Sus scrofa: one gene and its partner. The protein of the gene in region 1 interacts with the protein of each later gene in a biochemical or structural test. Links are inferred from orthologs where the notes say so. Each region holds a gene or a part of one and is shown on either strand. Other genes may lie near its edges.

Region 1 (4,206 bases):
GACTATTTAGAAAACCCTTGATGTTTCCTCCCCTTTTCCTTTCTAACTAGATTTTTGGTCAGTTGTCCAGCTTTCCCTATAATATTACATGTCACATAAGAAGCATGTTGTTTACTTATCATTCAATTTAGTTCACAGATTCACAAGATGATAAATAGGAGCACACAGTGGACCTGAAGGAAACTGAACAGAGCAGTACACCATAGATGCTGAGGGGTGCTTTCTCTTAAAGCTAGACCTCTGAGATCAAAAATCCCTAGGTCTTCCAGGATCAAGCTGTGTGGTCTAGATCAGGTTATTCAACCCCTCTACGCCTCAATTTTTCATAGAACTGTTGTGCAAACTAAGTACGTATGTAAAGTGCTTAAACCAGAACTAGGCATGTAATAAGCACTTTATTATAATGGCTATCTGCCATCACCATCATCACTCTTTGCAGTGGGGCACAGCGAGAGAGATACAGCACATCTTTTAATATAGAAGATGCTTGGAGTTCCAGTGGTGGCGCAGCAGAAATGAATCCAACTAGAAATCATGAGGTTCAATCCCTGGCCTCGCTCAGTGGGTTAAGGATCCGGCGTTGCCCTGAGCTGCGGTGTAGGCGTTGCCGTGGCTGTGCTGTGGCTCCGATTCGATCCCTAGCCTGGGAACCTCCATATGCAGGGGTGTAGCCCTAAAAGATGGGAGGGGATGCTACTGAGCAGCTAAGGCAAAGACTGGGGTGGATAACCCTTCTGGCATTCGCACAGTCCATACTCTTATCCAATAAATACAAGGAGAAGTAGAGACAGCTGACTTACAGAAAAAGATGATGAAGCTGACTCACAAAACAAAATGGGAGGTGGGAAAGAGAAGGGAGAAGGGAGGGAGAGAGAAAGGGAGAATATATCTTGGTTTCCAAACACTTTCCAGTTCCTGGTTCCACTACAACTTAAGCACTGAGTGCCCTTTCTGGCCTAAACCAACAAATAAATTCTCCACTTTTTATTAAGCTTTGACCAACAACATTTATAAAGTCTAACACAGGTCTTGGAAAAGTTTTCATCAACAAAATAATCTTAGAGGAGGAAAAGTGGTATGCATCTGTTACTACACAGAAATTAAGACGACATTGCAGATAAAAATAAATTTAACTACAAACCAGTATTCTCAACCCACTGTAAACCTAATGCATGAACTTACACAGGTGAGGCTCAGGCCTGGTTGTTTCAAAAGGTCTACAGGTGTTAAAAGCTCTACAGCTGAGGCTAAGACACTAAAACCCTCACATTTATCAATATGAACTCTCTTTACCTACTATCAGGGTCCTCCGTATATAAACTAGTACAGGCATAAAATTCATTAATATGCTTTTCTCTTTACTGAGAATGAAATAATTTTTGAAACAGCAGGCGGGGAAAGGTAGGCATTATTCAAACCGAAACAATTTCCCTTTAGATCAGAACCATGAATACATTCTTTTGCTGATGTACACCATACCAGCCAGGTAACCAGCCAATATCCTTCCACCGCTTCTCATCGCTCTCCTAAAAACAGTCACAAACATAAACTGAATCTTTTACCTGATTCCCCTTTCCTTCTTATTCCGAAAAAGTAACCCTAAAACATGTCTGTATTGTGCAAATTAGTTGTGGTTAACTTAATTTCAAGTTCCTATTCATCTCTTGACACTTTTTTTAAATCAGGGTGTCCGTCCTTAAGTACCCCATTTATGTCGCCAGTAATTCAGCGATCCATAAAAATTCTGGCTCGTTTATGACAGTTTTGTCTCAGTTGAGGACTTTGAAGAAGATTATCAGCCCCAGGAAAAATATCTTTTCCGTTCTAACCCCAACAGCTCATTTCAAACCTCTACTATACAAAGGTATCAACAATAAAGTTATGACCTTGTTCTAGGACTAGGAAGGAAAATTGTTCAAGAGCAAAAAACAAGTTCACAAACAAACCTCATGACAGCACGGACTTCTGCCGATTTCTTACCATAGCACTAAGAAAACAGCAAGGTTTAAGGTCGATTATTGAAGGCAGGGTCCCCAAAAGACCATGCTTCTCTCTATGATGTTGAGGAAGCACTGGTGGGAGGAAGGGGCCTTTCTCGTGACAGATCTGACTGAACGGTAGCATCAGCCATCGATGAGAAAAAATTCCTAAAAGCAACTTCACGTTTCAGAAAACAGCCTCCCACCGAGTAGCCCGTAGACTTAGGAATCACCAGGGACACGTACACCCCTCACGAAGGTGGAAAAGCAAATCCTGCTCCCCACCTCATCCCCTAAAATAAACGGTAAGTCGGGTCCCCAGGAGCGCCTTCCCCAGGGCCCCTGCCCCCGCGTGCAAGGTGTGCGGACCCCTGGCGGGACCCCACTGGCCCGCTTACCCTGGGCCCCAGGCCCGCCGGCCCGGCGCTACGCGGGCGTCCTCCGCCGTCTCTCTCCCCTCCCCCGCCCGCTTGCGCTCTCGCTCCGACGCGGGCCCGGGCCCGGGGCTCCGCCAACCGGTCCCCTCGAAACAAGAAGGTGGCGGCCGGAGACGCTGCGGCTCCCCGGTTTCCCCTCCCCTCCCCCGCGGCCTCCGCACTCCACTCCCGCGCCCCCGCTTACCCTCAACTCCTCGAAATCCGCCATTTTATACCACCCGCGGGCGCCGCCGCCGCTGCCGCCACAGCACCCCCTCCCGCTGCCGCCAACGAAGCCGCCGCCACCACGGCCGCCGCCGCCGCCTCCAGCACCATCCTGCACTGGGCGCCGCTAAAGACGCCGCGGCTGCTGCCGCCGCCGCCGCCGCTGCCGCCGGGCGCGTCACGTGACCTGCGCCGGAGCTCCACCCCCTGCGCAAGCGGCCCCGCCCTCCCGGCGCCCCGCCCACCGGCCCACCGCCTTCCGCCCGGGTCTTCCGCCCGCCTTCCCAGTGAGCTGCGTTAGGCTTGCCTGGATCTTCCCCTTTCCCCCTCAGCGTGTCGGCCTTCCGCAGCCTTTCCGTGCCCCGCCTCAGCGCGTGGATGCTCCTCTTCCCCACGCGAAGGCCCAGCCCGACTACCTGAAGCGCCGTCGCGACTGCAGCATTACCGGCGGGCCTGTAGGAGGGAGTGATGGAGAGAAAGAAGAGGTGTCTTTTCCCACGGTGGCGTGGACTGGGGGAGTACCCACAAATAAAGCCATCCCCCAGAGTAGTTGTGGTGGAACAACCCATGGATGTTGACTAAGCTCTGGTTCTGAGCTAATGGTGCGGGATTGGTGAGACCTCTTTGGGTTGCTAATATCTTCAAAGTACTAACCTGGCTAGTTCTCTCTGACTTTGAAGGGCGACTGAATGTCAAAGACTGCAGAGTCGAGAGGGTTGGGGCAGAGAGGTTGGAGAAGTGAAATAGGAGAGCAACTTGAAAGGCCCTGATAGGAAGTCGAAGGGTCAGGGAAATCAGATAGCTGGGAAAGATGAAATGTCAAAGGCAGAGCGGATGGAAGGAAGTTTCTCACAGCACCCCTGACGTGCTGACAAAGGATGAGAGAAGATGCTGAGGCAAGCTGGTCAAAAAATTCGCTGGACCAAGGACAGAGTTGAAATGTGCTTTGAGAAGTGGCTCCCATTTAAGACACTTAATGTTGATCCCTGGGCCAAGAAGAGTTTCCCACTCTACCTCTTTGCCTAACTCCTAGTCATCCCTCAGGACTCAGTTTTAGTATCATTTCTTCAGGAAGACCTTCCCTAAACCCTCATGCCCCATTTTAATTCAGAGAATCAACAGTATCTAGAATAGGTTCTGATTCTGGTTCTCCACCATTAACGTTATGGTCTTAGGTTGATTTAATCTTGGTTTATTCTCTTTAGGTCTTAACTTCCACCTCAGTGGCATTTTATATTGTTCGACAGACATTAAATGAAGGCTAGGAGCTTTAGGGGAATATAAAGATGAATAGGATAAAATACAGCCCTTCCACCAACCCATAAGAGGTACCAACTCAAACATAAAACCATAAGAGGCAGAGCTGCACGGAAACTGTTTGAAGTGTTCGTTGTAGGATTGGGTAGGTTTGACTGCAAAGAGTTCTGGGTGCTGCCCTACACTGACCTAAGTCAATAATAACTATGCCCCCTTGCTACAGTAATTAGATCAGAACTGTACCTATAAATGCAACTACTGCAGGACATTTCCAGGTCAGTTAGATCAAGTACAGGGTGTGCCTCAAGGTAGGCAAATGATGTAGACCA
Region 2 (4,130 bases), on another chromosome or scaffold:
GGAGTTGTAGCTGCCGGCCTCCACCACAGCCACAGCAACGCCAGATCCTTAAACCACTGAGCAAGGCCGGGCATCGAACCCACGTCCTCATGGATACGAGTCGGGTTCATACCACTGAGCCACAATGGGAACTCCCATTGTGTTTTTTGATGTACAAAATTTTTACAATTTTCACGAAGTCTAGTTTGTCTGTTTTTCTTCATGCTGCCTGTGCCACTGGTGTCACATCCAAGAAGCCACTGCCAGGTCCCATGTCATGGAGCTTTCCTCTGTTTTCTCCCGAGAGTTGTACTGTTTTAGGTCCTTGGTCCACCTTGAGTTAATTTTTGCATATAGTGACAAGAAAAATCCAACTTCAGTCTTTTTTTTTTTTACGGCCACATGTGCAACATATGGAGGTTCCCGGGCTAGGGGTCCAATCGGAGGTGTAGCTGCCGGCCTAACAGGACAGCCATGGCAAGGCAGGATCCAAGCTGCGTCTGTGGCCTACACCACAGCTCACAGCAATGCTACATCCTTAATCCACCGAGCGAGGCCAGGGATCGAACCCGAAACCTATGGGTACTAGCAGGGTTCCTTAGCACTGAACCACAAGGGGAATGCCTCCAACTTTATTCTCTTTGCATGTGGACATAGGATGCATTGCTTTTTTAATGAGAAGGTACTGGTGTGTTCAATGAGACGCAGGGGCCAGAGCACAAAGCAGACAGAGACAGGGCAGGGGCTGAAGGCCAGGCAGAGGAAGGCACCGAGACCACATGGCCTGTGCCCGGCCCTGGTGAATTCCCAATAAGCCAGTGAACTACTGCAAAGAAAGGGGGTGGACAAGACCCACAGTTCCGACCAGCAGGCCTCTGCCTGTGCTCTCCAGGGAGGCAGAACTGGCCTCCCAACGGATCCCAAGGTTTTCTTTTCACCAAGATGGGCTGGAGCGGGCCTCCTACCACCCCCAGGCCCAGAGGAGAGCTCGGCAGGCAGCGAGGCTGTGGTGGGCAGGGGTGGGGCACGAGGCCTTGTCTGGAAAGCAGTGAAAACAAGTTTATTCAACTGAATTGGGCTGTGGGCTGGACCACGTGGGAGAGCTAAGTTTAAACACACCGAAGGAATGAGATCTATGTGTATTTCATCGCATTTAAACTGCAGAAAGAGGCCCCCAGAAAGCATGAAGAAGGGGCGCTTGTGTTCAGCCTCCAATAAACAAAGGATCCAGGGCGCGAGCGCTAGCAAAGGCTGAGTGAGAAATGTAACTGGCCGCAAGGAAAAAGCAAAGGCAGGAGTTCCTGCTGTGGCGCAAAGGGACTGACGGGTCTCTGCAGGGGCAGGGAGGGACATGAGTTCGATACCAGGCACAGTGGGTAAAGGTTCAATGTTACCATAGCCGTAGCATAGGACACAGCTCTGCTGGGATTCAACCCATGGCACAGGAACTGCATGTGCCATGGGGCAGCCAAAATAAAAGAAAAAGAAGTAATAAAATAGAATAAAAAACAAAGCTCCAACTGCACCCGGAGAGAGGAAGCTCCTGAGGGCACCTCTTCTCACAGGCCCCACAGTGGGCTCCCGACCTGGGGCTCAACCAGGGGGTCTCTGACCAGGGGTTTGGTGACCAGGGGTTCCGTGCCCTGGACCCCAACCCCAGCTCTGCCTCCTGGGCTCCAGCCTCAGCTGCAGGGGGGGAACCTCCAGCGGGGCTGGCAGCAGAGAAAGCCTGCACGCCATCGTTCAACTCGCAGCAGATCTGCTACTTGGAAAACACTGACCCCAAGGGTCCAGAAGCCCGTCTTTAATAGGAGGGGGAGGGCTAAGGGCCAGCGCAGCAGACTCAAGGGCGCAGACCTGACAGCCTGGGGGAAGGGCGGCAGGGGGCACACAGTAAACGACGGGGGAGGTGGGCGCACGCCCAGGGGGGCGACCGTGCCTCCAGACAGGTCAGGCCTCTCAGAGCCCCTGTCCCCAGCCTGCGCCCCCTCGGGCTCTCCGCAGTGAGAGCTGAGGAGGAGGCCCTCCGAGGGGCAGTAGGGCCCAGGCAGGCCAGGACCTTCGGTCCTGGCATGAGGGGCGCAGCGGGGGGAGAGTCCGAAGAGGAAAGAGGTTCTGGGGAGGGGCGGTCCCAAAGGGGGACGAGGGGAGACCCAGGCGGGTCCCAGCCAGGAGGGTCAGGTCCAGGAGGGTCCAGGATGGTCCAGGATAGGGGTGCCACTCGCCGAGACAACGGGGCGGGGCTCTTCGGGGGCGGGGCGGGGCCGTGGGGGTGGAGCTCGTGTCTTGGGGGGGGAGGCCTGGGAGGGGCGGGGCTCGGGACGGGGCGGGCCCCGTGGGGAGGGGCCTGGGCGGAGGGAGGGGCCTGGGCGGAGGGAGGGGCCTGGGCGGAGGGAGGGGGCGCGCGGCGGGGCGCGCGGCCGGGCGGGGGAGGGGAGCCGAGCGGAGCCCGGCGGCGCGGGGGAGGGGGCCGGGGAAGCCGGGTGGCGCCGCGGACCCCGGGCCCCAGAGGCCGGCGGCGGGTCGGAGGGCGGTGCAGCACGGGGCGCAGGCGGGGGTGGGGACGGCGGCGACGGCGGCGTGGGCTGGAGGCAGAGCACGGGCCCGCGCCCTACGGCCCTTACCTTGGGCTTCTCCTCGGACATGGCTGCGCGCGGCGGGCGGCGGGGCAGCAGCAGCGCCGGGCGGGCGACTCACGCTCTCGGCCCGCCGCTCTCCCGCCGCAACTGCTCTCGGGGCCGCGCTTTGCCCCCAAATCCCTGCGCGCCGGTTGGCCGGCGCGGGTCACGTGGTGGGCGCGCGTGCACGAGGCGCGACCCCGGGGCGTCGGACGCGCGCCTGGCCTGCCGGCCGAGGTTCCTGGCGGTTGGAAATGCGTCACCGGGCGGGGCCCCGCGAAATCCGGCGTCGGGGTTGGGGGTTCCCAAGGCAGCGGGGGCTCGGGTCCGCCCGAGGGGTGGGGGGCGCGCTGGGACCCGGGAGGCGTGCAGGGCAGCTAGGGTGGGGACGGTGGGACCCAGGGGGCACACGGGGCAGCGATGGGGGCAAACTGGAACCCCGAGGTGCTCAGAGAACCGGGCCAGGAGGCCTTGCGCTTTATCATGGAGCCTGAGAACGGCCCCTGCTCTGGTCCCCATAACTGGTCCCCCTACTGCAGCAGCACCAGTCAAGCCTAAGTGCACCCACTGCTTTTCTTTTCTGGTTACGGTGTTTCTCAGAGGAAAAAAAGGAAAATAAAGCCAGCCAGGCGAGCCACTCCAGGGGACGTGAGTGAGAACAGTGTCTTGGGAGGCGCCCCCACTACTGGGGAAGGTGCAGCTTGCCTTCGCCCGGAGCCAAGTGTCGGACCTCGAAGTGGAGTGAAGGAAGGGGTGGAGGCTGACCCACCCGGCCACTCCGTCCACCAAGGAGTCAGGGCATGACTTCCTTTAGCAAACCCACTCAGGCTCCAAGGTCCGGCCACCTCCACTCTGCGATCCCAGGGGACGGAGGCATAAATGGCATTTCTGGGAGGGAGACGGGGAGGCAGAAGCCTCTCTCTGTGATGGGCTAGGCTGCTTGTTCTTCTCCCCCTGTCCAGCCCCCTTCTGAGCTTGGCCAGTGGAAGCCGAGCACCTGGGGCAGGTGGGGACCGCTTTGCTACCCTACCTGGAAGCTGTGCACCTGACCTTTACATCAGCCCATTTTACAGGTGAGGAAACTGAGTTACCTGACGTCCTAGCGTGGGTGAGCAATGCCGCTGGGATGTGAGCACAGGCAGTGGTCCGTGTGTCTGACCAGTGTGCTCTGCTGCCTCGGGACAAACCCAGGGCTCAACCCCAGCAGGACAGGCTGAAACGGGCACTCAGGCAACCTCGGGAAATGTGGTGAAGAATGGGCCCTGGTCAGGAAGCCCTCCAGGATTCTGAGGCCCTGGCTCTTCCTGCCCTCCCCGTCTCCACCCCATGCCTCAGAGGAAAGGGACCAGCAGTGGCCGACGTGGACTGACCCCTCGGGTGTGCCGGCTGTGGTCCCAAGCACGCATCAAGGCTCACAACACTCTGCAGCAGGGACCTTAGCCCCCTGTTCTTCCGGTCAGGGAATGAAGGTTGCACAGGGTCACGCACTAGGAGGTGGCAGGGTCTGGATTTGAACCCAGGTCACTAGATGGC

Evidence for each region.
Region 2: the proteins of PIAS2 (region 1) and SUMO3 form a complex in vitro, tested with the Homo sapiens proteins (2 studies listed by BioGRID, with this or other methods). The link is inferred for Sus scrofa from reciprocal best matches to the Homo sapiens genes PIAS2 and SUMO3.

Annotation. Positions count from the first base shown.
Region 1 is NC_010443.5:96,542,981-96,547,186, forward strand, and holds the start of PIAS2 (E3 SUMO-protein ligase PIAS2), read right to left. Parts: upstream 2,801-4,206; 5' UTR 2,625-2,800; coding exon 2,601-2,624; intron 1-2,600. UniProt on the Homo sapiens protein: Functions as an E3-type small ubiquitin-like modifier (SUMO) ligase, stabilizing the interaction between UBE2I and the substrate, and as a SUMO-tethering factor.
Region 2 is NC_010455.5:207,481,516-207,485,645, forward strand, and holds the start of SUMO3 (small ubiquitin-related modifier 3), read right to left. Parts: upstream 2,848-4,130; 5' UTR 2,625-2,847; coding exon 2,604-2,624; intron 1-2,603. UniProt on the Homo sapiens protein: Ubiquitin-like protein which can be covalently attached to target lysines either as a monomer or as a lysine-linked polymer. Does not seem to be involved in protein degradation and may function as an antagonist of ubiquitin in the degradation process.